7 linked regions of the Rattus norvegicus genome follow. The protein of the gene in region 4 interacts with the protein of the main gene of each other region in a biochemical or structural test. Links are inferred from orthologs where the notes say so. Each region holds a gene or a part of one and is shown on either strand. Other genes may lie near its edges.

Region 1 (3,500 bases), about 33 Mb from region 4:
TAAAAATATCTCTAGTATGCTTCTTCAACTAACATTTAATTTTAATACCACTGTAAATTTTTTCCCTTGAAGATTACTTTTCAGTTACGTCATATTTTGAAAGCACGATGTGATCCTGTCCCTGCTGCCAATGGAGCAATTCGTTTCCACTGTGACCCCACATTCTGGGCCAAAAATGTCGTGAATTTAGGTGAGAAATCATTTTGTGAGTATTATTTGAACTATAAAGCTGAGAGGAGAAACCATTTTAGCAGATTCTTGATACAGTTTTTAAACTTTAAGATGTGAATGATTTGGGGTTGGGGATTTAGCTCAGTGGTAGAGCGCTTGCCTAGCAAGTGCAAGGCCCTGGGTTCGGTCCTCAGCTCCGGGGGAGAAAAAAAAAAAAAAAGATGTGAATGATTTAAGAAACGTGTTAGGCATTGGAAACTATGTCTAGGCTGTTTCTTTAGGTCTTGGTGCTAGGGCTTGAACCCTGTGTTCCAGCATGTTAAACAATGCTCTCTACTTACTCCTCACTCTTGTAGAGTGCTTTTCCTTGTGGTCCATTTCTACCTTCTTTTTCAGAATTAATACTGACTTAGTAATGATGATTCTCTGACTAGTTACTTAGATGCTCCATAGTTTAATTATACCAAGTGGTTGAGTCGAGAAGGAACTTGGGTTCACTGAGGTGTTATAGCCACATTCTAAGGAATGTTAGACAAAAGCCGTTCTTTTCACTTGATAAAGAAATAGACTTTGCTTTTGTCTCTCCATATCACTGACCTAACGACCATGGCTGAGGGTGGTAGAGGTAAACAAAAAGCCAAGCAAGCGACTTTGTACTTTAGCTACTACAAGGAGATTGAGGCAGTGCTGCTCGAGCCTGTCAGTTTAAGACCCTGTCTCTTAAGTAAAATGACTCAGAATGAAATCTGCCATCCATTGGCCTTCACATTGAAGGTAATCATGCCCTTGAGATTTGAATTTTACTGTTTAAAAATAACATTCTTTGGATAAATAGAAAAAAGATACTCAATTTTGACTTTAGATGTAGCACTGGAAAATCACTGTTGTTTGGCTTACTAGATGAGGGGTGGTGTTGGTAGAGAATGTAAGAGAGAGAGAGAGAGAGAGAGAGAGAGAGAGAGAGAGTGTGTGTGTGTGTGTGTGTGTGTGCATTTCATTTTGTACTTCATTTCCAAAAAGTTTTTTATAAAAATCATTATTTGCAACAGGATTTTTTCTTTGTGGCCTGCCAATATTACCTCAAAGAAAATGACTGTGTAAAAAGAAAGGGACATGACCAGATAAAAAGGAAGGGCCAGTTTAAAGGTATAAGTGTTTTAAAGTATTCAGAATTTCCATAGGAAATTATTTGGTAGCTGGGTATTACTTCACCCTTAACATTGGCAGTTTGAAAGCAGATGGAGAGATGGCTCAGTGGCTAAAAGTACTGCCTACCCTTTAGAGGACCCAGATTTATTACTCAGCACCCATGACAGCTCACAATTATCTGTAACTCCAATTCCAAGGGATCTGGTAGCCTCTTCTGATCTCTTCTGAGAACCAGGAATATATTGGTGCACAGACATATATAGTCAAAACACCTGTACACATTTAGAAAGAAAGAAACGGAAGGAAGGAACGATGGAAGGAAGAAAGGGAAAAAGAAAGCAGATAGAATCAGTAACAGCCATCCTGAATATATCCTGGAGTCTTTGTCATGGAAGAATTGGTTCAGACTGACTGGATCCTTCCTCTAATAATATCTCTTTCAGTCTCCAGCCAGCTAGCCTGGGTTATGCAGCAGCAAAGACACCGTGCCTCAAACTAGCTGGAAAGGTGAGGACTGACATCCAAAGGTTGTCCTCTGACCTCCACATGGGCACTGTTCTGCATGCCCACAACCATCCAAGCCCCTCCAAAAAAAAGCAAATGCACACATACATCACACCCACACAGGTCTAACTAAGAACAGATAGTGTATTGTGAATGATCAGCTTATTTGTGGGAGGGTTCAAGGGGCTTTGGAATCTGTTGCGTTTCTAATTAGCATCATTAAACCTAGCTCTCATTTGTGATGTGCTGTTGGATGCTCTGAGGTGCTAATTGTCAGAAGGAGGAAAAGATAGTGATTCATCTTTGAAGTGGGCAATTAAGTTGATTATTTGTAAATCCTTCTTATTTTTTTAAACCCTCAGGTAATCTAGTAATAGAGAGTAAACCAGCTCCTGGTTATACTCCTAATGTTGTAGTTGGGCAAGTTCCTCCAGGGACAAACCACATTAGTAAAACCCCTGGACAGATTAATTTAGCACAGCTTCGACTCCAGCACATGCAGCAACAAGTGTATGCACAGAAACATCAGCAGTTACAACAGATGAGATTGCAACAGCCACCAGCTCCTGTACCAACAACAACAACAACAACACAGCAGCATCCTAGGCAGGCAGCCCCACAGATGTTACAACAACAGGTAAGCACTGTGCCCTTCCATTAATGATAGAAATTAAGATCACAAATCTACACATCATTCTGTGCTCATGAATTACACAATATGAGTTACTAGGTGAAGTTCAAAGGTCAGAAATATGGAGAAAATTTGAATAATAAAGGTGTTAATAAGTAAGATCATGGGAAGCAATGACATTTTGCCCCTTCCCATAATACATGCCCACACATAACACATATAGTTGTGAGCCAAAGAACAAGATTGTTTCTAAGCTCTGATGCATTAGGCATTTGCTGCAATTATTCTTTCCTTTGGTGTTTATGTCCTGCTTCACAATCAATGTTGTTAATTCCACAATGAGATGAGTTAATGTTGACCCCCATTTCATCCCTTCCTCCCTCTCCCTCCCAGAAAGGGTAGCTAGAAAAAATTTGGAGTGACTTTTTATAGCAATTATCAGTTCTGTAAGAATTGGGGTTGAAAAAACGAATATGGCTTAATACTGTACCCTTAATAATACTTAATACTTACACCATTCTGTTCTGAATTACTATTACTTTAGCATTTTATGATTGAGCAATAAATTTGTAGAAATATGTCTGCTGGGTATGGTTGGTACATTTCCTTTAATCCCAGAACATGGGAAGCAAAGGCAAGTGGATCTGTGAGCTTGAGAATAGCCTGGTCTACATAGTGAGTTCCAGGACAGCTACAAAGAGAAAGCCTGTCTCAAAACAAACAAACAAACAAACAAAGAAAAAAGGAAATATTATATGAATTAAACGTTCTCCTTTTTACAGCCTCCAAGATTGATCAGTGTGCAAACAATGCAAAGAGGCAACATGAACTGTGGAGCATTTCAGGCCCATCAGATGAGACTGGCGCAGAATGCTGCCAGAATACCCGGGATACCCAGGCACAGTGGCCCTCAGTACTCCATGATGCAGCCACATCTCCAAAGACAAGTATGCCTAGAGTTACATTTGTAAGAGTCACACGATTTTAAAACTAAAGCGATCATGTGTTCATAATTAGAATGGTTCATGAGGGTCTTTGATATTTA
Region 2 (4,040 bases), on a different chromosome or scaffold from region 4:
TTGGGGGTGGGGGGGCAGATGTTTACAAAGCACGTTCCATGATAGCCAGGACCACACGAGCAACTCTGTCTCTTAAAACCTAAAAACCAAACCAAAACAAAAAACCCCATATTTTAATACCTGTTCTTTTGGGGTTTGTGGTGAGGGGTCGTGGTGGTGACTGGGGGTGTGTAGTGACATTATTTTGTTATTTTGTGATAGGGTCTCATATAGTCCAGGCTTGCTTTGAACTCCTGCCTCTGCCTTCTAAGTACTGGGGTTATTGGCATTTACCCATCATGCCCTGCTTTACCTTTTATTCCAAGACATGATATCACTATGTAGCTCATGGCCTTAAACTTTGGATCCTCCTGCCTCAGCCTCCTGAGGAGCTGGGAATATAGGCTGCAGATCACCCGCTCTTAGAACTCTGTTCACTCCTGTCTCCAGAGAACCCCATATTCCAATGCCCCGGAAGTTCTTCCTGGGACCCAAGAATGAACACATATGTAAAGAGTCCAGTGGAGCCTCCTGTATCCACAGGTGTCAGGGCAGGTTCTGAGGCAGCACAGGAAGTTCCTGTTTGTCTCTGGGCTGTGAGCATGGCAGTTCAGGGAAAACACAGGAACCTGGGAAGGCAAGTTGTCAGCCTTGGCGGCAAGCACCTTTACCCACTGAGCCATCGAGCTGGCCCTCATGAAACCCTTGTCAGCATGTAGTGTGATGATTGGCTGAGGGCTGTCAGGGTGGGCTGCCCAACATGGGAGTCTCAAAAGACTCTAGTGAAATGCTTGACTGGAGTCTGGGGCAGGAGAAAGCCCTTTCACAGAAGGGCTATCCCAAGGCCTTAGAGCTGTTCAGAATCCAGAAGGGGAACAGACTTAGGTTGGTACAGGGGCGCTGGCTGTTAATCTTGTGTATGCCAACCCCACCCCCCACCCAAGTTCCACTCCCTTACTCCCAATTCACTGGAGGGGCAGGAGGGTGGAGACCAACTTCTTCATGAAACTAGGGTACCTGGCCCTCCCCTGAACCTGGCTCTGAACAATCTGTTCTTGTTTACGACCCCCATTGCAGGGCAACAGCGATTGCTCACCCCTGCATGTGATCTGAGAGGGCCAAATCTTTGAGGCCTGGAGGAAACTCAAGCCCTGCCAGCCGCTTGGCTTCGGAATGCTCAGCTGGTCCCCTCCTGGGGCTCATGTGACTGAAGGGCAGCTATAAATATCAGAAGGGCCTCAGACCAAGACAGAAGCCGGGTGTTCGGGGAGGAAGACAAAGAGGATCCGAGTGGGATCCCTTCCACTCGGTGTGACGCAGGTGGAAGAGACAGTCGCAGTTTCGAAGCAATATGGATTATAAATCTGGCTTGATTCCGGACGGAAATGCTATGGAGAACCTGGAGAAGCAGCTCATCTGCCCCATCTGCCTTGAGATGTTTACCAAGCCTGTGGTCATCCTGCCCTGCCAGCACAACCTCTGCCGGAAGTGTGCCAACGACATCTTCCAGGTCAGCGCTAGGCAGGGCCGGGACCTGGAATCCCCCCCCACCCCGCGCCCCCCCCCAGACCTCCCGCGGCTTCTCAGAGGCCCTTCCCCTCTCAGCCTAGAACACTTGCTCCATTAAGAAGCCATTCAGAGACCCCTGGGAAGGACTAGGGCTGGAGGTAGAGAAGGGGCTAAGGGGAAAGGGGGAGCTACTCCAGTCCTTCCGCAGTGTACTCATCTAGTCCCCACCCTGGCCACAGCTCTCTCCTCTGCTGGGAGAGCTTGCTGTTGATTCCCCAGTCAAGAGTCAAATACCTCAAGTGATAAGAGGAGGAGGTGGGTAGAGAGGAGAGAGAAACCAGGCCCTGGGGCCGGAGCCAGCTCCAGGTGGCAGGGGGCCCAGACTTTGGGAGGCGGGTGGCAAGAGGAACGTAACCTCAGCAGCATCTCAGAGGCTGCGTCCTCCAACAGCGGGCGAAGGGGCCCCATCTTCTGAGGAGGGAAAGGGCACAGTTGAGGCAACGCACTGGGGAGAGCGTCCAGAAGGACGACAGGAAATGCTCTTCCAAACTCAGGTCTAGTTGCCTATTCCAATAATCTCACGTTCAGGAACCTGAGGCAGGAGGATTGCTAAGAGTTTAGGGTCAGTCTGTGCTACCTGATTAGTTTGAGATAACAAGATCCTGCCTTAAAAACAAAACAAAACAAAAAAATTTCCCTACAGTTATCTTTAAGGTAATATCCTAGGAGCTGGCTCTAATTCTAAGAAAGACCTGTGGTCTCCGTGGTAAACTGAGGCATAGCGAGATTATAGTTGCGCGTCTGAAGTCACACGACTTGAACTCATGTTGGCTGGTACTGAACCTCTTGCCTGTTTGAGTGCTTCAACCACGATGCTTCAGCACATGGTTGGGCTGGGCCAAGGCCAGGAGCCGGTGGGTGCCCTTTGGTTTGGCAAGTGTGTTTGGGGCAACTGGGGCAAGGAGAACTGAGACCGGAGAGGATGGGAACGCCCGCCTTTTCTGCAGGCTGCCAATCCCTACTGGACCAACCGCGGTGGCTCGGTGTCCATGTCTGGAGGTCGTTTCCGCTGCCCCTCGTGCCGCCATGAAGTGATCATGGACCGGCATGGGGTGTACGGTCTGCAGAGGAACCTGCTGGTGGAGAACATCATCGACATCTACAAGCAGGAATGCTCCAGGTCAGTGTGCAGCTGAAATGCCCCGCCTCCTGACCACGCCTCCTGACCGCGCCTCTCCCCAGACCCCTCCCACCTCAGCGAGCCACATTCATCAGCAGGCAGAGCCAACAACCTCTTCCTCAGACCAAACCTCAGCTCTTGAGTTTTGCGTATACGGGGAGCTAGAAAAAGAGTCCTGAGACTAGGGTGCAGGGGCGTGTGTGTGTGTGTGTGTGTGTGTGTGTGTGTTTGCGCTCATGGTAGAGATTGGACCTCATTAGGCTAGGGCTCTTCCACTGAACTACATCCCCAGAGCTTGCAGTTTTAAGATGGAGCCTTGACATATAGTGAAGGTTGGTATCAACTTGAGATCCTATTGTTTTTCAATCTCAGCTTTAAAATTTTATTTCTTTTATTTTGCTTACAAAGAAGGGTGTGTGTGTGTGTGTGTGTGTGTGTGTGTGTGTGTGTCTGTGAATACCAGAAGAGGGTACTGGCTCCCTGTATTAGTCAGGGTTCACTATAGAAAAATAACATATATTAATATATATGATCGATTGGAATGGCTTACAGGCTGTGTGTGGTCCAGCTAGTCCATAATGGCTATCTACCAACAGAAGGTCCAAAAATCCAGTGGCTGTGCAATCCACAAGGTTGGATGTCTCAGCTGGTCTTCATTATGTGCCAGAGTCCCCCAGAGAGTAGGCTCTAACGCCAGTGAAGGAACAGACTTGCTATTGAGAGCGAGAGCAGCAGGCCAATAGACAGCCCCCTTCCTCCATGTCCTCTCTATGGGCTGCCAGGACAAGGTGTGGCCCAGATTAGAAGTGGATCTAGATTAAAAGTGGGGCTTCCCACTTCAAATGATTTAATTAAGGAAAAACTCCCTGGCTAAGCAGTGGTGGTGTACACCTTTAATCCCAGCACTCAGGAGACAGAGGCAGATGGATCTCAGTGAATTTGAAGCCAGCCTGGTCTACAGAGCGAGTTCTAGGACAGCCAGGGCTACAAAGAGAAGAAACCCTGCCTCAACAAACAAACAAACCAACAAGCAAACCCAGCCACTTGGATTTTAGTTCATTACAGATGAATCAAGTGGACAAGATTCAGCTCTCCCAATCGCCCTGAAACCAGAACTGGGGTTACAGACAGCTACGAGCTGCCATGTGGGTGCTGGGAACCAAACCCAGGTCCTTTGCAGGAATAGTAAGTTCTCAACTGCTTTCCCCAGCCTTCACAGTGACTACCATATACCTCTTTGTTACATCGTGTCTCTTGTTGCTAGAACACAGCACTCCAAATGGACGTTGTTGAGCCCCAGGCACGGTGGCGTAGGCCCTGTGGTCCCAGCTACTAGGGAGTCTGAGGCAGGAGGATCTCAGTTTCAAGGTTC
Region 3 (3,257 bases), on a different chromosome or scaffold from region 4:
GGGTTTGGTCTCCAGTACAACAAACTAGACATACATGACAAAAGTCAAATAGTCCCCTTCACTCTTTGTAGAATGGATACCAAGAGTCCTTGATTTGGGAGGTGGGGGCAGGAAAATCAGAGGTTTAAAGTCACCTGTAGCTGTGTAGCAAGTTCAAGGCCAACATAGATTCATGAGATTTTAAAATCTGTAAAACATGGCCTTCCATTTGGTTTTATTTTTCTCATCGTGTACATTGTTTTTACTGAAACTGATGGTAATTCGTAATTCCTTAGAGCGTCATTAAGGAGAGCTGTGTCATGTTTGTCACTTCTGACATGCTTGAGCCCCGTGGTAGTATAAAATATGCCTCTGCTTATGCCACTAGTTTTGATTGGTGTAGAAATTTAGAACTCAGGCCCAGCCTGTAGTCCCAGCCATTTGGGAAGCTGAAGCAAGAGGATTGCCAGTGAACAACTTAGACCCAGTCTTAAAAGTGAATAGTAGAAAAGGAAAGGGATATAGCTTATGGTAGAATGCTTGCCTGGCATGTGTCTATCTCTGGTGCTGAAAATAAAGTAACGTTTTAATTAATCTGCTTATGTGTTCCTCTCCTATGTGTCACTTGTGTCTATTTACAAGAGAGATTTTGCCAAGTATGTAGTTATAGGAAGACCTGCTCGATATTTCTGTATTTTACCTGCAATGCAAAGTTGTAAGCGTAAGTGGCTGTCACTGTTGCCTGTGCAGCAGTCCTCCTTGAGAAAGGACAAAAAACCAGGGGAAGTGCACTGTGTGTTTTCCGGCACATGTATTCTGCTTTTACCACCATGATACTGTTCTTGTCTCTCCTTCCCACCAGAAATTAGACGGCTGCAACAAGATGACCTGTACTGGCTGTATGCAGTATTTCTGCTGGGTTTGCATGGGCTCTCTCTCAAGAGCAAACCCTTACAAACATTTCACTGATCCTGATTCTCCATGCTTTAACAGGTTTGTACACATAGGGTTCCTTAAGACTTAGCAGGTAAAAAAACTCAGGTGTGCCTGCATGAGGACATGTATATGCACAGGTGTACCCTGGATAGGCAGAGACCCAAGAGGGTTTCTGTCAGAGTTGAAGCTAGAAGTACAGATTGTTTGCAGGATGCCTGTTTTGTCACATGAGAACTGGGATCCGAACTCCTGTCCTCATGAATGAACAGCATTCTTGACCACTGAACCATCTTCCTAGCCCATCCGGAATGTTTTGATGCCAGTATGCAGGCTGGTTTATTTTCTGAATACCAGTTTTTTTTTTTTTTTTTCTAAAGTAGCTAGACTTGGAGAACTTTTTTCCCACATGTGATTTTTAAGTCTTCTTGAAAATGGGTAAAATTTTATTTTTTACTTTTTATCCTCACCTTAAAAAAAATTATACTTAGCTGGGCAGTAGTGGACACTCCTTTAATCCCAGTACTTGGAAAGGCCAAAGCAGGCAGATTGCTGAATTCAAGGCTAACCGGGTCTATAGAGTGAGTTCCAAGACAGCCAGGCTGTAAAGAGGAACCTTGCCTGGGAGGGTGGAGGGGATATGTTTATGGGTGTTTTGCTTGCATGTGCGTCTTATATTACATGTATGCCTGGTGCTCACAGAGTATGGAAAAGCATGTTGTGTCCCTTGGTACTGAAGTTAAAGATAGTTGTGAAGCCACTATTTACGTAGTGCTAGGAATCAAACCCAGGACTTCTGGAAGAGTAGCTGTGCTCTTAACAGTTGTACCATCTCTCCACCCCTACACCTACCCGTCATTTTTAATGACAAAGCATATGTGATATAGGCTGGTCTAGGATTTTAAAACTGTTTTAAATTATTTGTGTGGGAGGGTTTGGGTGTTGGCGTGTTGGTGTTGGTGCACGTGTGAGGTCAGGACAGCTTTCAGTACTTGTTACCTGCTTCTGCCACCTTCCCCTGGGAATCTAACTCAGGGCAGGCACCTCTGTCTGATGGGCCCTGGGGCTCGCCCTGGCTTGGAAGTCTCAGTACTCCTTTTTTTGTTTGTTTGTTTTTTGTTTGCTTGTTTTTCAAGACAAGGTTTCTCAGTGTAGCCTCATGTGTCCTGAAACTTATTCCGTAGTCCAGGCTAGCCTCGAACTCAGAGATCTGCCTGCCTTTACTCCACACTGAGCTTAGTTCTCCTTTTATGGTAAAAGTTTTCTAGCGTGTAGAAAGGTTGAGAGACTATAGCTGTGACTGGTGTGAGTAAACAGTGAACAGTACACTGACTTACTCTCTCTACTGTCTCAGAGAGGCATTGCTAAACTGCTTGAGGGTGAATTATGGCAATGCTTCCACTCTGTTACTTCATTATATATCCTAAATTTAGAAAATGCCTGTAAGACTGAGGGTGTAGTTCAATGCTTAGCATGTGTAGGAGCTTTGAGTTTAATCCCCTTCCCACACCCAGCTCCCCAAAACCAGAATGTTTCTATGCAATGATAGTACTTTAAAAGTGAATGGTGGCCAGGCATGGTGGTGCCCACCTTTAATTGTAACTTTCAGGAGGCAGAAACAGGAGGAGGATCTCTGAGTTTGAAGCTGGCCTGGTCTACATAGTGAGTTCCAGGACAGCCAGTGCGTCATAGAGAGACCTTTTCTCTTTTCTTTTTTCTTTTTTCTTTTTTTTTTTTTTTTTTCGGAGCTGGGGACCGAACCCAGGGCCTTCCGCTTGCTAGGCAAGCGCTCTACCACTGAGCTAAATCCCCAACCAGAGAGACCTTTTCTCAAAATAAATAACTAAGTGTGATATATACTATCTTGTTTTGATATATATCAAAACATATTTAAGACTTCCATTCATCGGGATAGCAAGATGGCTCAGCAGGTAAAGGCACTTGCTGCTCATGATCTGATGACCTGAGTTAGAGCCCTAGAACCAATATGAAGGTAGTTTAAATATCCTCTGACCTCTACATGTGCACCTCCAACTGCACAGCACATACTAATCTTAAAAACAACACACCTTCCTCTTAGCATTCAGAATATCTATTACCGTCAGTTAAGGAGCCAGGATCTAGTCAGCTTCAGTCTGGTTGTTTTTCTTTTTCTTTTTTCTCTTTTTTCTTTTTTTAAATCATTTCTTTACTTTATGTATAGGAGTACACTGTAGCTGTCTTCAGACACACCAGAAGAGGGCATCAGATCCCATTACAGATGGTTGTGAGCCACCATGTGGTTTCTGGGATTTGAACTCAGGACCTCTGGAAGAGCAGTCAGTGCTCTTAACCACTGGGCCGTC
Region 4 (3,931 bases):
CCTCCATCCCAAGTGAGGAAACGGGGGGCCACAGTAGGGAGGGGCGTGGGGCCTCAACCGCGCAGCTGCCGCTTCCATTACCTTCCTCCTAAGGTCTCCTTCCGGTTCTCGATGCTTCTCTGAGTCTAAGGGTTTCCGCCACTCGTCTACCCTCCCCCTCAGCCCATGACCCGCCTCCGTCCCCCGCCCTCCCGGTCCGACCTCCGATCGGTTTAGTAAGAAGGTGCTGTTCGGACAGGGAGACGGCAAGAGGGTGGCGCGTCCACTCGGCCTGGACGAGGGAGGCAAACCGCTCCCCTTCAACCCTCAGCTCGCCCTGCGCTCGCGACGGCGGCGTTGGCGGACGGATACGCGGCGGTGAATAGGCGGGGGGAGAGGGGGAGGGGCGGAGCGTGGCAGCTGGCAGTAGTTCCGTCAGAGCGGACATCTTGTGGCTGTGCCGTGCGCGTGAGCCCCGTAGGGCCGGGGAGGCACCAGCTGCCGCGCGGGGAGGAGGCCGAGGCCGCAGCTCGAGGGAGGCCCCGGCCCTCTGTACGCGTGGGTGTGGACAGCTCGGGAAAGGGGAGGGAGACGGGCCGGGGCCGGCGCGGCGCCCCGGGCTGTGGGCGGCCCGAGTGGGCAGCCCTCGGGGCTGGGTGGGGTAGGATGGGAAGGCCGGCGGAGCCCGGGCCCGGCTGAAGGGGGAGGGGGCATGGGCGCGTCCTCGCGCCGGAGCTCCGCGGCCGCCGGGCGCGTGGAGAGGTGGCTGGGCGCGCGCACGCAGGAGCGCGCCGTGAGGCGGAGAGTACGGTGGTGTCAGGGGCGACCCAGAACAGCTCTAGCTGTGGGGACAACAGCACACGCGAGTCTAATTGCCTTCTGCTGGCTCGCCGACCCTCGAAGCAGAAACCGAAAGAAGCCCGGCGTCGGTCCGGAGCCTCCCGCTCCCCTCCCCCTTGCCTTTCTTTGCCCTAGTGACGCCGGCCTAGCGCCGACTAGGCCCGGGCTCCTCCTCTGCCGGGCTCTGGACCCTGCCCCGCACCCACCCCTTTCTCCTCCGCCTCTTCCTCTCCCACCCGGGGCTCTTCCTTTCAAGAGGCCGGGAAGTTAAACTTGTAACCACCTCTCGGCTCTTCCCGTCACCCTCGCCCTCTCTGGGCGAAGCGCGGATATAAGTAGCTGGTGGCTCTGCCACCCCACCCTGCCCGGATCGCGACGGTTTTCAGGGTTCTGGAATCAGCAGGGTTCCTCTGAGGCCTTGGCGAGTGGCTGATCTGCTCCGTTTTTGCAAAAGGCGCCTGTGTCTGGCAGAGCCGGTGTGAGAAGAAGAGAGAATCCTTCCCCGCCGCCGGGATAATCAAGAGTTTTGGCCGGACCTTTGAGTACACATCGGGATAGTGAGAAGCCCGGCGAAAAGCACAGACTATGGCGCTGAAACGGATTAATAAGGTAAGTTGTTGGGACTAAATGTTGCGGATGGGGTCGCGGGAAGAAAGGCTTGGTGCCCAGAGAAAAGCCTGGAGAGTTGGATTCTGAAAATACCTTACATGGGGTAAGAGAAGGCAGGGGCACTTTGAAATGAGCTGTAAGATAGGGAACGGAATGGTTTTGGCAAGCGAAATGTTTGTTTCACTAGAATCTGCTAGTATGGGTGAGGGAGCGTGGCATTTATTTAGTCTCCTCAGTTTTTTGCCTAAGAGTCAGGTTTGGGGAGTAGAATTATGTACAGGCCTCGGCAGATGCCATGGCACTGCTTCCTATTCTAGGTTCTTCAAAACATTTTAGCTATTAAGGCTATAGGCATTCTAAAGAAAGGAATGTAACAGTTGAAAGACGTTTTGTTCCAAACTTGACTGAGAGTCGGGGTATGACAAACATACCTCAGTTTGCTAAAATGCGGTGACGAAGTCTGTTCAGAAGCTTAACCAAATCTGGGCAGTTACACAAGAGTATGTGGGGTTGGGAGGAGGTGGACCGACACTGTTGCCACTTCCTGTGTTGTGTGGTCGCTGCTTTCACCCAAAGCTATGTATCTGAGGCACCAGGAACCTATATGTAAAAGCCTTCTGAAAGATTCCGGGGTTGGGGGTGTTTGACAGTGCAGGGAAACTGGATGGAGGACTGCTTTGCTTAGAACCCCCTTCCTTAAGGAGGCTTGTTTGAGCAATTCACTAGAATTTGATAAGTCGTTGCTTTAATTTGGAAAGAGCTACGATTTTTCCAGAAATACAGTGTAAGTGGAGCCACTTCTCTGGTGGTTTTTGTCTCGTTTTCTTGCTCTAACTTCTATCCCGCATTTTAAGATGGCGGCTGCTTTAACTGGCTCAGGCTCTTCCCGGCATCTCCTTTTCTAACTATAAGATAATGGTCTCTGTTAAGCGTTAGTTTTTTTAATCCGGTTGTAGGGAGCTCTCAGAGCCTCTGCTCCCAAGACTAAACCTAAATTCAAACTCTCAGACTAAGTTTCTGTGTGTGTGTGTGTGTGTGTGTGTGTGTGTGTGTGTGTGTGTGTGTGTATTTTGTATTTGGTTCTTTCACAATCGAGAGGGTGGAGTATTTACAGCCAACTTGAAAAAAAATGTGGAGTAAACTCAGTCCTAATAGAAAAGACAAAATGGGAAGGTTCGGTATTAGAAACTTTGACTTAGCACAGTTTTTAAAGAGTTCTGTGGAAAGGCGAGGACTTGGATTGACTATAGGTCTAATACTACTGTATTTGTAGTTATTTTATATTATATATATATATGTGTGCGTGTGTGTATATATATATATATATACATATATATATCTTGATCAGCTTGATTGGAAAAAGCTGTAGTTTCTGAAAAGTTAATTCTTACCTGAATATATTGTTGTTGAATCTTGAATTCTTAGGACATCCTGGTAATCTTTGTGGTTTTATGCAAAACACTTAACTGAACTGTTTGTATTCTTGATGATAATGGAAAGAGAAAGAAAACCTTAGAATTCAAGACTTCAAATAGATAATAGATAACATTAAAATTACCACTTAGTGTGACAATTTTGAGGGTGAACCTCACATTAGAGATGCATTATTGTGCTTTATAGCATAATTAATACAGAAACTATATCATTCAGTGTTAATCAAATTTCAGATCCATAGTGTAAAACGAACATTTTAAAGGGAGGTCTTACTGATTTTTTTTCTTTTTACAGGTGATACTCAGCTGTTTTGGCAACATTTTAATGACTTAAAAGCTCTAGCGAGGCAGTAATGGTTAAGTGTAAACATTTGTAGTAAAAAACATGAGATAGAATCAGACTCTAAGCAAGTTTATCAATTTGCCTAATCTGTACTAGGAATTTTTCTAGCTACTGGGATGGCAAGAGAAAACATATTTTTGCAAGTTTAAAGAATTATGTATGGATATTAAGAGGTAAATTTTTTATATTCGAAAACTGTTTATATGCCAAATGGCTGATGCTTCTACCTGTAGGGTATTCCAGCATATCATGGTTTTTCCTTCAGATACTGTCAGAACCATGAAGCAACTTAAAAAATGGCACCCAGATGCAGGAATAGTTTGTGAAAGTACAGAAGGAGGATCCTTTTCTTCTTAAGGCAGTATTGTCATGAGGTTTTTTTGTATTGTTCCCTGTTTAGAATTTATTCTTCTGGTTCCCCCTAAACAAGTGTTAACAAGCCATTACTATTTTTATTAAAATGCAACTGAGCTTTAGTGATAAATGGGTATAAGTTGATACTTTTATCTTTTTTTTTCTTTTGTGTGTTTGCTTGACTGTTTCTTAGCTCACCAAACAACCATACGTGTATTCTTTTGCTGTGTTTGTAATTATTTGGACTAAATTGTAGTATGGTGCTGTTATTAAATGGGTATTTTAGCAGCTGAATTCCAAATCTGTGTTTTTGGAACTTTAAGAAAATTTACTGCTACAAAGCAGAATGACTGTTACATAATTGGGGGACTTT
Region 5 (4,258 bases), on a different chromosome or scaffold from region 4:
TTAGTGGCTACTTTCCCAAATGCTGAGATTACAGAAATGTGTCTCTTTGTTGAGCTCTTCAGACTCAACATACCAAACCCAATAGGCATTTACTCATGTTAAAGTCTGGGGTATAGGACCAAAGCTAAACACCCCCAAAACCAGGAGGGAAGCAATAACAGCCAATCTCTAAACTGCTGAGCTTTAGCCAGTACCATAAAGATATTATCACCCCCACTTTAACCTTTAACAAGTATTCTTTTTTTTAAAGATTTATTTATTATATATAAGTACACTGTAGCTATCTTCAGACACACCAGAAGAGGACATTAGATCTCATTACAGATGGTTATGAGCCACCATATGGTTGCTGGGATTTGAACTCAGGACCTCTGGAAGAACAGTAGGTGACCTTAACCATTGAGCCATTTCTCCAAAGCCCTCCCCTACCCCCCACCCTCCAAGATTCTTTGAAGCCTCCAGTGTAACTTTTTGTTGCTGTTTTCCTTGAACGTCACATGTCTATAAAGCCAATATCTGCTTGTCATAAAGCACATTCTATAAAATGCTAGTGTTGCAAATAAATGCTAACAAAAATCTTTACAGTAAATTTGTTGCAATTTCTTCTTTTAGCACTAAGAACTTTAGAAAGCTTGGTTGGGAGAAAAACAGAAGGGTAGCCCGAAAAATACTAAAAGAATAATTACAAAAATTATTGTTTGTATCTTGGTTTAGAGAGTTACTTTTTAGCCAGCGAATAACAAAATTTCTACAACCTACAGTGGCTGAACCACCAAAGGCGGGAGGAGTTGCTACTGGCAGGCCAAGCGCGAGTGCACAGCAGCTCCCGGAAGTCCCGCCCAAATGGGCGGTTCCTTGGAGGAAGACAGTTTTGGCGGGAGTTGTGACATTTGTAGCGCCTGTGTACCTACTCGGGCCGCGCCTAATAGATCGACTGGCTTGACAGCGAGTCTGAGCCGCTGGGTCTTGAGACCCGGGGGAACCGCGAGGCGGCCAGAAGCTGGAGCGTGGGCACTGGAGGGCTGCCTCCACTGCAACTGCGACACGGAAGTCCAGCGGCGGCCCGAGCCCGGTTTCCGGGTGATCTTGGAGCGGCGGTCTCCGGGCTTCCGGTGCTGGCCGGCTCGGCGGCCTCGCGCAAAGAGGCGGGTCCTCCACTAAGTAAGAAGGGGAGCTGGATGCGACCTTCTGTGGCGCGGGGAGCTAGAACCCCTCTCCGCCCCGAGGCCTCCGCGCTCCGGGAGGAACGTTCTTTCATTCCCTTGCTGGACGCAGGGCATAACTGTTTACCTGACATCACAGCTCCTGTTCGCCTCGGGCCTGTGGAAACTCAGGCCGTCTGGATTTCAGTACGCTGCTGTATGTGAGAATAAACGCCAGAAGGCTCCTGATTTTCTTCATACTTTATGTGCTTAGCCGAAAGACGACTTTTGTTCCTTTCAGCTGTTGACGTTGGGTAGGCCACATTAGCATATGAAGATGGCTGCACCTAAAAACTCCATCCCTTCCTTAGCGGAATGTCAGTGCGGGATCTGCATGGAAATCCTCGTAGAGCCTGTTACCCTACCTTGCAACCACACGCTCTGTAACCCATGCTTCCAATCGACTGTTGAAAAGGCCAATTTATGCTGTCCCTTCTGTCGCCGCCGGGTCTCTTCGTGGACTCGGTACCATACCCGAAGAAATTCTCTGGTCAATACAGACCTGTGGGAGATTATTCAAAAGCACTATGCAAAGGAATGCAAGCTTAGAATCTCTGGACAAGAATCAAAGGAAATCGGTAAGTAAGATTAAACATGTTTATTGGGTAAAATCCAAAATCTTTTAGAAAGGGAACCATTTTTGTTTCTCGAGACAGGGTTCCTCAGTGTAGCCCTAGCTAGCCCCGAACTCAGAAATCTACCTATGTCTGCCTCCTGCGTGATGGGATTAAATGTACTCGACCCCACCGCACTGCTAGAACCATCATCTTTTCTTTTTTTTTTTTTTTTCTTTCTTTCTTTTTTTCGAACCTAGGGCCTTGTGCTTGCTAGGCAAGCGCTCTACCACTGAGCTAAATCCCCAAACCCCCCCCCCCCCGCCTTTTTTTAATATTATTTATTTAATGTGTATGAGTATACCGTAGCTGTGAGCCACCATGTGGTTGCTGGGAATTGAACTCAGGACCTCTGGAAGAGCAGTCAGTGCTCTTAACCACTGAGCCACCTCCCCAGCCCGAATCATCATTTTCTAATTAAAAAAAGAAAAGAAAAGAAAAAGAAGGCTAAGTAGTCTGAATCGTGAGGATTTGTGGTTTTGTAGGCCTTGCCCACACAGACGTTAAAGTCAAGGACAGACTTTATCACATGTAATAATGGTCAACTTGTGTTCATCTACTGTGAATTTAGGGCTTTTTTTTTTTTTTTTTTTGGGTAACATTTTTTAGACATGTTTTGAGACAAGGTTTTATTACTATGTAGCTTGGGCTAGCCTTAGCCTCACACATAGTGGAGTTGTAGCAACTCGAGAACACACCTGCGCTTTATTCTTAGAATTAGTGAGGGTTGGCAACCTTTTCTGTAAAGGGCAGAATAGTATTTTGTGGACTGTATAGTCTACTGAGGACCGTGATATCTGCCACCGTAGACAATACATTAATTTACATTGCCCTTTGTAATTGAAGGCAGAGCCTGTGCTTCCATAAAACTATGAAAAGGAAATGTAAGGGCAGATGTGGCCTGCCAATGAACCATGACTAAATAGCCCCCGTCTTTAGAATATCACTATTACCTTCCTAAGAATAACTATCTGTGGAGGTAGCAGAATTAAGTAACTGCAGATACTCATGAAGGAAAAACTTGAGATCTCTTTTTTTTTTTTTTTTTTTTTTTTTTGGTTCTTTTCTTTTGGAGCTGGGGACCGAACCCAGGGCCTTGCGCTTCCTAGGCAAGCGCTCTACCACTGAGCTAAATCCCCAACCCCGAGATCTCTTTTAAGTATGTATTTAATTGAGTATGCGAGTGTATGTGCACCATGTGCATGCAGTGCAGAAGAGGCACGAGATCCCTAGAACTGAGGGGCAGACCGTTATAGGCTGCTATGGGAGTACTAGGAACCAACCAAACCTGCTTACCCTGAAAGAAGAGTAGGCATCCTTAACCACTGAGCCAACTCTCAGAAAATTCTTACCCTTAAAAGAAGTTCAAGGGTTGGGGATTTAGCTCAGTGGGCCCTGGGTTCAGTCCCCAGCTCCAAAAAAAAAGAAAAGAAAAAAAAAGAAGTTCAATTGATAAATTAGATATCAAGAGGTCAAAAGAGCCTACAAAGTGGAAGAAAATATTTGTTAAGAAAGTAATGCCTAGGGGTTGGAGATTTAGCTCAGCGGTAGAGCGCTTGCCTAGCAAGCGGAAGGCCCTGGGTTCGGTCCCCAGCTCCGAAAAAAAAAAAAGAAAAAAGAAAAAAAGAAAAAAAAGAAAAAAGAAAGTAATGCCTAAATAGAAGCAAGAGGATCACTAAATTCTAGGCCTGGCAGGGATAATTTGTGAGACCCTCTTAAAAATAACTGACCAGGGAAAAAACGCACTTAAAAAAGCTCAGCAGGAGTTTAGCCAAGACTACACAATAAGATCCTGTCTCAAAAAAAGATTCCTGGGGGCTGGAGAAATGGCTCAGTGGTTAAGAGCACTGACTGCTCTTCCAGAGGTCTTGAGTTCAATTCCCAGCAACCACATGGTGGCTCACAACCATCTGTAATACCCTATTCTGGTGTGTCTGGTGTACTCATATCCATTAAATAATATTTTTAAAAAATTGTAGTGTGGGATGAAGGCTTTGTTCAAGCTGTCATTACTTAGGAAAGCATTAATTTCATTAGTGGATCAATCCACTGATAAGTTCATCCCAACTGGGCTGTTAGGAGGCGAGGCCTGTCTGGAGGAAACACTGGTCACTGAAAATGCCTTTGACAGGTATACGTTGTTCTGGTTCCTCTCTGTGTTTCTTTGCTTCTTGACTGCAGTTGAAGTGGGCAACTCTGCTCTACCAAGGCTTTTCACAATTGCATAAAACCATAAATGTAAATTTCCGAATGAGCCAAACTAAACCTTTCCCCTCTGGTGTTGTTATGTGAGGTGTTTTGTCATAGCAGTAGTGGCTAACAGGAAGAAAATTGACAGAGTCTAAATTGAAGAGATAAAGAGATGCAGGCCAGCCTAGCCTGAACTCACAACAGTCTGCCTGCTTCGTCCTCAAGCTAGGACTAGAAGCGAGTGCTACGTGC
Region 6 (4,073 bases), on a different chromosome or scaffold from region 4:
ATACACACACACACCATATATACATACACACAAGCAGACTACACACACATACCATATACACACTCACACACAGAAGCATACCACACACTCATACATATACAACATACACTCACACCATAAACACACACAAACATATACAACATATACACATATATACACAAGCACACACACTCATACATATACAACATACTGAAGCCCAGACAGACCACACAGATTCATCATACATACACATACATACATACACAACCATACACATGAGTGTGTATGCATGAAAGCGCGCGCATACACACACATACACACACACACACACACACACACACACAGAGCCTTAAGGGTTTTTTATTTAAAAAAATTTTTTTGAGACAGGATTTCTCTGTGTATCCCTGGCTATTCTGAGCTTACAAGTGCCTCTGCCTCCCAAGTGCTGGGATTAAAGTAGTGGGCCACCACTGCCTGACTAAAAAAAAAATTAATTTCTATTTTTTACTTTGATTTTATGTGTATGAGTGTTTTGCCTGCATATATAGCGGTGCACAATTTGCATGCTCAGTGCCCACAGAGGAGATCATAGAGGATCTTCTAGAATGAAATTACGGAACATTGTAAGCTGCAGTGAGGGTCCCATGAACTAAATTTGGGTCACACACACATATACCAAAACACATCAACATAGACAGATACACAAAGCATACACACTCATATACACACAAGCACTGACACAAAGTACACACACACATACCATATACACATATACACACACGAGCACACTCATAACACACATACAACGTTCATACACACACACACCATAGACACATACACACAAACATACACAACAGTTCTTAAATAAGAGTGGCTCCACTGAGCCAGCTCTCCCGCCTTGATTTAACAGAGCTTGAATTGGATTGAAGAATGCTTTATTCCTCACCAAATACCCTTGGAGGAGAGTTGGGTCATTTTACCTGTCTCACCTGGTACACAACACCACCTCAAGAGGAGATAGACAAGTGGTCTATCAGTTGATTTCATCGCTAGCTGGCCTTGCAGCCTGGAGAGGATACAGTGACCCCTTTTGTCTTCCCACCGCAAGTGGGAGTCAAGGCTCTGCAGCTGTGGAGCCTAGATGGAAGCCAGCTAGGCATCCATCTCTATGGTCTCGCTCTCCAGGTCCCTCCTCCCCGGCTCTCCGCGTGCCTCTATGGTTCTTCCTGTCATTAGTCGGGAGGGGGCGCTGCGCGCAGGCGCGAGGTAGACGCTGAAGCAAGGCCGGAAGGAACGCAGTAGCGGCCTCGGCGGCAGCGGCGGCGGCGACGACAGCATTGGCAGTGGCGGCTGTAGCAGCGGGGAAGCTTTTCGAGCGGATGCTTCAGGTGACTTGAGATTGAACTCCCGGGCGTCGAGCCCCGCTCGCGGAGCTGGACTAGCTGCGTGGCGAGTACGTGATGGGCGGGCGCGCGCGTCGTCTCCCGGGGGCTGCGGGTCGAGCGAGGAGAGTGGCCTCCCGCCGGGGCGCCACTGGGGTGGGGGCGGGGGCTGAGGGGGACGCGTTCGCGAGCCCCGGGGGTCCGGGGGTCCGCGCAGGGGGTGTCGGGAGAGGAGCGACGCAGACGACCGCTGGCCTGCCGGCTCCCCTCCCGCCACTTAAGGAAGTTTCTCGGGCCGGCCTGCTGCGCGGGGGGCGTCGAGCCACTGAGAGACGGTTCGCTGGCGGCTCGCTGTGGCCGCACTCCCCACCGCGGCCTGGAGAAGCGGAAGAGGCGGCGAACTGTTGACTTTGAACTCCAGCCCGGGCCAGTTTGGGCCCCTTGGAGTCCAAGTTGACGCCTGTCATCCCAATCAGCGCTCCGGAGCAAAAGGGACTCGAAACTCCTGCAGTCGGGCGTCCTGGTGCGCGGTGGAGAGAGCGCTCCCGTGGCGCGTGGCACCTTGGGTGAGCGGCAAGACCCACGCTGGAGTGGACGAGGCGGCCCCTTGTGGGGCTCATCGGTCATCCCAAACTCCCTGGCTTTCTAAGGGGTGCAATGACCTGGGACCCTCTCCTCCATTGTGTTGACTGTCTTGGAAGCCATCTCTGCTGGCGTTTGTCTTGGTTTCGTTTCTTCCTTTCTTTTCTTTTCCTTTTTTTTTTTTTTTTGTTAAAGAATTTTACTGCATATCGGAGGTTAGCCTGCAACCTGAAAAGTAGATAAGGCTGGCCCCAAGGGACTCAGGAATTTGCATGCCTCTGGCCCAGTGTAGGTCACCTTGTCCTACCATTATGTTGTTATTGTTATTTTAAGATAGATTCTAACTGTAACCCTTGCTAGCCTGGAGCTCAGATGTCCGCTTGCTTCTGCCTCCTGATTGTAGGGATTGAAGGCCTGTGTCACCTTGCTCAACGTTTTTCTCCTACCCAACAGCTGCTCTACCCCGAGCTCCACACACGCCCTTGCTGGATTTTGGTTTGGTTTGGTTTGGTTTGGTTGTTTGGGTGACTCTAGTGGATTTATTGGGTTTTTGTACAGTGCAGGGGTGAAGGATTATGTATTGGAGCCTGTGTGCTCCGAAACATCTGCTTGAGGGCCAAGTTTCAACCCCACCATGGATGGTGACTTTATGAGAGCTCCACCTGCTTGTTATCTTAACATATACAGAGAAGGGGCTTGTCCTTGCCTGGAGGGAGGGAGGGACAGTATTTTTATGACCTTTGTTTAGCTTATCCGAATTATGAGATTTCCAAGCCTTGCATTCTGTTTGTATCCCAATAAACTGTCTAGGGAAGGGTGGTGAACTTGAGGAAATGGCTGAGGCTCTTGAGCCTGGATTTGGATACCTGTGAACCTGTTGCATTAGCGTGAACTTTTATCTAAAAAGGACAAGAGCAGCTAGTGAAAAGTTCTTGAGAAATCTAATAAAGTTGTGGCTCGGGGAGATTGAAAGTTTATGAAATTTGCTGTGTGAGGTAATGGTTTCTGTGTTTACTATTCTCCAGATTTTATCTGCACAAAGCTGTTTGTTTGTTTGTTTGAGGTAGGGTTTCTCTGTAACAGAGCCTTGGCTGACTCCCTTTGTAGACCAGACTGGTTTTGTACTCCTGCCTCTGCCTCCTGAGCAGGGGCTGTTCTTCCAGAGGACTTAGGTTCAATTCCCAACACCCACATGGCAGCTTACAACTAACTGTAATTCTGGTTCCAGGGATCCTACACCCTTATACAGACACACATGCAGATAAAGCACCAATGTGCATAAGTAAAAATAAACGATTAAAGAAACATTCCCTGTGTATATGGACACTTAAGGGCACTTGTGGTCAGAGGACGGCTTTTGGAAGTTGGTTTTCTTCTGCTGTACGGGTCCAGACAGTGCCACTCATGCTGTCTGTCAGGTTTGCAGCAAGTGCCCTTAACCTATTGAGCTCATGCAGCAGCCTTAGCTGCACACAACTTGGTGCTAAGTGCTAGATATAACTCTCCTTAGACTTGTCAATAACGTAGGTTCTCTAATAGCTTTTGTTGTGGGTCAGGGGGAAGGGAGATGCTGAAAAATAACTTGATACAAAGGTCACTCAGTTACACAATTTAAAAGTTTTAAATTACATTTATTCTTTGACAGTTTCATGTATAATGTATTAATGACTCTTATCCCATTAAACACACACACACACACACACACACACACACACACACACACACACAATTTCCATTCCCACAGTCATGATGTTTGTTTGTTTGGTTGGGTTTTTTTTTTGTAATCCACTGAGTTTAGCCAGGGCCATTTACATGAGCATGGGTGTGAGCTATCCAATGGCTAGATTATTTTCCCATTAATTTATTTATTCCCTTTACATCCTGATCTCACCCCCTCGAAGTCCAAGAAGGGGGAGGTTCCTCCCAAGAAACCCACCTTGGCACTTCAAGTCACTGCAGGACTAGATGTATCCTCTCTCACTGAGGCCAGACAAGACAGCCCAGTTAGGGAAGCCGTATCCACATGGAGGCCATAGTGTCAGGGTAAGCCCCCAGTCCAGTTTTGAGAGACTTCCATGAAGACCAAGCTGCACACCTGCTCCATATAGGGAGGGGTTAGGTCCAGCCCAT
Region 7 (4,220 bases), on a different chromosome or scaffold from region 4:
CCCAAGTGCTGGGATTACAGATGTGTGTCATCATGCTAGCTAACAGGTCACTTTTGCCACAGAAAGCAGCATTTCCTGGTTTTGGCCTTCGTGCTGAGGGTTGAACCTAAGATGTGACATATACCAGGCAGGTACTCTGTCACTGAGCACCAAATCCTTATGCACCAAATCCCCATTAGTGGTGTCCCCCTGGGTATATCCATGCTAAGCTAAATCCTCATGAACTGTGTCCCTACTAAGCTAAAATCCCCCTGGGTATATCCATGCTAAGCTAAATTCCCATGACCTGTATCCCTACTAAGCTAAATCTCCCTGAGTATATCCATGCTAAGCTAAATCCCCATGAGTTGTATCCTAACTAAACTGCATAGACAGCCTCTTTATTTTGCCCCCCCCCCCCCTTTTTTTGAGAGGCTTCTTGTAGCCAAGGCTGGCTTTGAACTCCGGAACCTCTGGCCTCCCAAGTACTCAGATCACTTTCTAGTTTGAAACAGCTTCACCAAGCTGCTCAGGCAGACCCTGAACTTGGTATTCTCTTGCCTCAGCATCTCAAACAGCTGGGATAACAAGTCTGTGTCACAGGACTGGCTAAAGCCTGTATTTTAGTTCCTAGTTGGAGGGCAAGTGGTCTGATTCCTTTGTGCTCTTTGAAGCCACTAAGGCCTGAGATACATGCTCCTTCCCCTCCGCCCTTAGAGCCTGTGTGCTGTGGTGTGTGTGTGTGTGTGTGTGTGTGTGTGTGTGTGTGTATTATGTGGGTTGTTGTGAGGAATCTCAGTCTTAGTAGTGGTGACTATTGCAGTTTCTGGAGCCCTGGCTACCCCTCCTACAGGGTGGGTTTGTGAGAAGTCACCAGTGCTAGTCCAACATCCAGTCTTTGTCAAATTGGATCAGGCCTAACATATGGATGATGTCCCTTTATTCAGTGAGGGGCTGGTCATGGTGGATGCCTGAAGAGAGAGTAGGGTGGAGGGCTACTACGGGGGACACTAAGTTTGGGAGGGTTGGAACAGTATCCCGTGAAACAGCTTGTTTGGCCAAGGAATGGCTACCTGACAGTAGGCATCTGTGTCGTCTGAGCCTCTGTGCTGGGGCATCCATCCCCCTTGGCTTGGGGACTACACTGCTGAGTCATAAGCAGGCCCAAACCTGGGAGGAGCCTAGGCTCGGATACTTACCGGCCCTTTTCCCATCGAACTGAGACTGAGGCTGGTCTCTTGGGGTCACCCATGCATTCGGAGGGAAAGAAAAAGAGGAGGCGGTGGGGGCGTCTCGCCCCCATACCTGTCAGGGGTCCTATCAAGGGCCCTCGAGCGGCCGCCCGGACAGCGGGGAGGGGCGGAGCTCAGAGAGGTTCCGCCCCCCACGAGGCGGGGCTCCCCCCGTATCCTATAAAAGCTGGGCTCTCGGAGCCGCCGCTGCCCAGCTGTTTCCTCCGTACCTAGTCTGCGGTTATGGCTTCGCTCACGGTGAAGGCCTATCTACTGGGCAAGGAGGAGGCGGCCCGCGAGATCCGCCGCTTCAGCTTCTGCTTCAGCCCGGAGCCGGAGGCGGAAGCCGCGGCTGGCCCGGGGCCCTGCGAGAGGCTGCTGAGCCGGGTGGCTGTGCTGTTCCCCGCGCTGCGGCCTGGAGGCTTTCAGGCGCACTACCGCGGTAAGGGCTCGGGGCGGGGAAGCCATCCTCCCCCGCCGCGGAGTATCAGGTCTGGGCGAGGACGCGATGGCGTGTCCTCTGGCTGCCCGCGGGGACAGGGTGGTCAGGCGGCCGCTCAGGTTACAGCTGACATCCCGCGGTTCGCTTGCTCCTCGTATCATCAGGTGATGGGTTCAGTTAAAGGCCCGGAAGAGCTGGGACCGGGCAGATGTGGAGGAGGGGTGGAGAGCAGTGACGCGGGTAAATAAGCGGCGGGGGCGGGGTGGGGCAGCCCGTGGGAAGGGAGGTAGGGGACCCCGGAACTAGCTCCGTCTCTTGCGTTGCAGTGGTTGATGGCTGCATGGGGTGGAGCTAGAAGTTGTTGACAAGAGACTAGTGGACAAGGCCCTCCCCCTGGGAGGGGATAAGATTGAGATCTCTTTATGGAGGACTGTGGGTAGGCCAGGTTGGTTGATCAGTCTGTCTCTTTTCTGAGATAAAGCCACGTAGCCTGATTCGCCTTGAATTTACGAGTGGTTTAGGCTGGCCTCACTTCAATCCTCTTGTCTCAGCTTTCCAGTGCAGGAATCATAGGGATTATTCTGGACAAAAAATGTTCAGTGTAAGTGAGTTTTAACCTAGGTCCAGTACAATTCACCCAGGTCTTAATGTCCTTCCGAGTCATCTTTGTGCTAGGGCCTCATGTATGTTAGGCTCTCGACTGACTGAGCTACCACCCCGCCCCCCAAACTCCTTGCATTTTTTAAAAAGTGAGTTATATAACTATTATCACATTCGGTTTAGAATCTTTTTTTTTTTTATAAATTTTACGTGTGTGTGTGTATAGCCTAGCCTGATACACACACACACACACACACACACACACACATATATGTATATATATATATATATCCTAGCCTGCAGATGTGTGGTTTGTCCTGTATGAGGTGGTTGAAGACTGTTTGTACTGACATAGAAATATATGGCTGCGCTCCCAGTACCTGTGTGCTAATGTAAAAATGAAAGCAGATGGGTTTGAGAAATGACTCAGTGGTTAAAGCCTTTGCTGCTCTTCCAGAGGACCCAAGTTCTGTTCCTAGCGCTCATATCAACTGCAGCTCCTGGGGATCCCACACCCTCTTATGGCCTTCGTGGCACATGCATACACATAAGTGTGCATGTGTGTATGTGTGTGTGTGTGTCTGTGTGTTCAAGTGCGTACATACATATGTAAAAGTAAATATCAAAAGGCAAAAAAGAAAAAAAACCCAAAAAAACCCAAACCACTTGGCAGCTTGGTTGCATATGTTTGTGATCCCAGCACTAAGGAGGCTCACCTACACAAGTTGGAGGCTGTCCTGTTCTAAGCAGTCTCAGGCCAGGCAGGGCGCAGAAAACCTAGAATTGACAAAAACAAAACCAACAGAGCAACCTCAACCTCAGAACAACTTAGACAGCGTCTGAATGCACAGTGGTTTCTGGTCACGTAGTTGAAGGGAGGGGACAGATGGGCTTACCTCCTTTCCTTCTGAAGCCTGAGGCCTTTGAAGGGCTGGACCATCAGGACAGGGTACTGGCTGGAATCTCCCAGGTGAAAATGGACCTGGCCTACTTACGTGTGGCCTGAGGGCACAAATGGCCCAGTGGTTTGTGGCAGGAAGCTGGACCCTTACACACATGACATATGCTCTGCCTTGTGCATGTACCGGATCTAGGACTTGGGTTAGAACATGTACTCACGCCATATCAGAATGAGTGGCCATCTGGCTGCTTGCTCCAGCACTCAGATTGCGTCTAGAGCCTCTGTAGATGTCCCTTACCATTGGGCTCCCTGTACATAGCAGTGGGCATCCAGCAGATGCTGGGTACCTGTGCTGCCCTTTCGGCTTCTAGTTCTGGGAATGGCACCTAAGTCTTCTGCACGCTCCACCAATGAGCTGTGTCCCTGGCTCTGATATGTTGTTTCCTAAACAATCTAGATGAGGATGGGGACTTGGTCGCCTTCTCCAGTGATGAGGAACTGACAATGGCCATGTCCTATGTGAAAGATGACATCTTCCGCATCTACATTAAAGGTAAAGACTGCATCCAGGTACTTCCCATCGGACTTCCTCTAAGGCTCAGGGGTCTGAGTTGTCTCTAGGACAGAGATGAGTTCTGATGCCTTGGGGTGGATATAGGGGGGTTGGGAGGTGTCAGAGGTACAAAGGTCCTGCTGTGTGGGCCATGGGTGTTGAACAGAGCAGGGCTTGGTACCTCTTGGCCTCCTAAGTGGTTTACCTGCAACTAAATTGGACTCTTGGACTCTCCCTGCAGAGAAGAAGGAGTGCCGGCGGGAACATCGCCCCCCATGTGCTCAGGAGGCACGAAGCATGGTGCACCCCAACGTGATTTGTGATGGTTGCAATGGGCCTGTGGTGGGAACTCGCTATAAGTGCAGTGTGTGCCCCGACTACGACCTGTGCAGCGTCTGCGAGGGGAAGGGCCTGCACAGGGAGCACAGCAAGCTCATCTTTCCCAACCCCTTTGGCCACCTCTCTGATGTGAGCTGGTTCTCTGCAGTCCTGGGGCGGTGTCGGACAGGGTGG

What was found.
Region 1: the proteins of Ube2d3 (region 4) and Trim33 form a complex in vitro, tested with the Homo sapiens proteins (2 studies listed by BioGRID). The link is inferred for Rattus norvegicus from reciprocal best matches to the Homo sapiens genes UBE2D3 and TRIM33.
Region 2: the proteins of Ube2d3 (region 4) and Trim63 form a complex in vitro, tested with the Homo sapiens proteins (5 studies listed by BioGRID). The link is inferred for Rattus norvegicus from reciprocal best matches to the Homo sapiens genes UBE2D3 and TRIM63.
Region 3: the proteins of Ube2d3 (region 4) and Rnf14 form a complex in vitro, tested with the Homo sapiens proteins (2 studies listed by BioGRID, with this or other methods). The link is inferred for Rattus norvegicus from reciprocal best matches to the Homo sapiens genes UBE2D3 and RNF14.
Region 5: the proteins of Ube2d3 (region 4) and Rnf168 form a complex in vitro, tested with the Homo sapiens proteins (5 studies listed by BioGRID). The link is inferred for Rattus norvegicus from reciprocal best matches to the Homo sapiens genes UBE2D3 and RNF168.
Region 6: the proteins of Ube2d3 (region 4) and Rnf216 form a complex in vitro, tested with the Homo sapiens proteins (2 studies listed by BioGRID). The link is inferred for Rattus norvegicus from reciprocal best matches to the Homo sapiens genes UBE2D3 and RNF216.
Region 7: of the proteins of Ube2d3 (region 4) and Sqstm1, one has a biochemical effect on the other in vitro, tested with the Homo sapiens proteins (2 studies listed by BioGRID, with this or other methods). The link is inferred for Rattus norvegicus from reciprocal best matches to the Homo sapiens genes UBE2D3 and SQSTM1.

The regions. Positions count from the first base shown.
Region 1 is NC_086020.1:193,549,327-193,552,826, forward strand, and holds part of Trim33 (E3 ubiquitin-protein ligase TRIM33), read left to right. Parts: intron 1-72; coding exon 73-190; intron 191-2,186; coding exon 2,187-2,461; intron 2,462-3,237; coding exon 3,238-3,402; intron 3,403-3,500. UniProt on the Homo sapiens protein: Acts as an E3 ubiquitin-protein ligase. Promotes SMAD4 ubiquitination, nuclear exclusion and degradation via the ubiquitin proteasome pathway. According to PubMed:16751102, does not promote a decrease in the level of endogenous SMAD4.
Region 2 is NC_086023.1:151,815,996-151,820,035, forward strand, and holds the start of Trim63 (E3 ubiquitin-protein ligase TRIM63), read left to right. Parts: upstream 1-1,240; 5' UTR 1,241-1,330; coding exon 1,331-1,489; intron 1,490-2,495; coding exon 2,496-2,668; intron 2,669-4,040. UniProt on the Homo sapiens protein: E3 ubiquitin ligase. Mediates the ubiquitination and subsequent proteasomal degradation of CKM, GMEB1 and HIBADH.
Region 3 is NC_086036.1:30,400,845-30,404,101, forward strand, and holds part of Rnf14 (E3 ubiquitin-protein ligase RNF14), read left to right. Parts: intron 1-841; coding exon 842-972; intron 973-3,257. UniProt on the Homo sapiens protein: E3 ubiquitin-protein ligase that plays a key role in the RNF14-RNF25 translation quality control pathway, a pathway that takes place when a ribosome has stalled during translation, and which promotes ubiquitination and degradation of translation factors on stalled ribosomes.
Region 4 is NC_086020.1:226,542,063-226,545,993, forward strand, and holds the start of Ube2d3 (ubiquitin-conjugating enzyme E2 D3), read left to right. Parts: upstream 1-1,131; 5' UTR 1,132-1,404; coding exon 1,405-1,428; intron 1,429-3,931. UniProt on the Homo sapiens protein: Accepts ubiquitin from the E1 complex and catalyzes its covalent attachment to other proteins. In vitro catalyzes 'Lys-11'-, as well as 'Lys-48'-linked polyubiquitination.
Region 5 is NC_086029.1:82,010,507-82,014,764, reverse strand, and holds the start of Rnf168 (E3 ubiquitin-protein ligase RNF168), read left to right. Parts: upstream 1-1,458; 5' UTR 1,459-1,473; coding exon 1,474-1,780; intron 1,781-4,258. UniProt on the Homo sapiens protein: E3 ubiquitin-protein ligase required for accumulation of repair proteins to sites of DNA damage. Acts with UBE2N/UBC13 to amplify the RNF8-dependent histone ubiquitination.
Region 6 is NC_086030.1:16,567,100-16,571,172, forward strand, and holds the start of Rnf216 (E3 ubiquitin-protein ligase RNF216), read left to right. Parts: upstream 1-1,273; 5' UTR 1,274-1,367; exon of another isoform or gene 1,368-1,432; intron 1,433-1,787; exon of another isoform or gene 1,788-1,927; intron 1,928-4,073.
Region 7 is NC_086028.1:35,034,951-35,039,170, reverse strand, and holds the start of Sqstm1 (sequestosome-1), read left to right. Parts: upstream 1-1,420; 5' UTR 1,421-1,454; coding exon 1,455-1,653; intron 1,654-3,611; coding exon 3,612-3,707; intron 3,708-3,948; coding exon 3,949-4,175; intron 4,176-4,220. UniProt on the Homo sapiens protein: Molecular adapter required for selective macroautophagy (aggrephagy) by acting as a bridge between polyubiquitinated proteins and autophagosomes.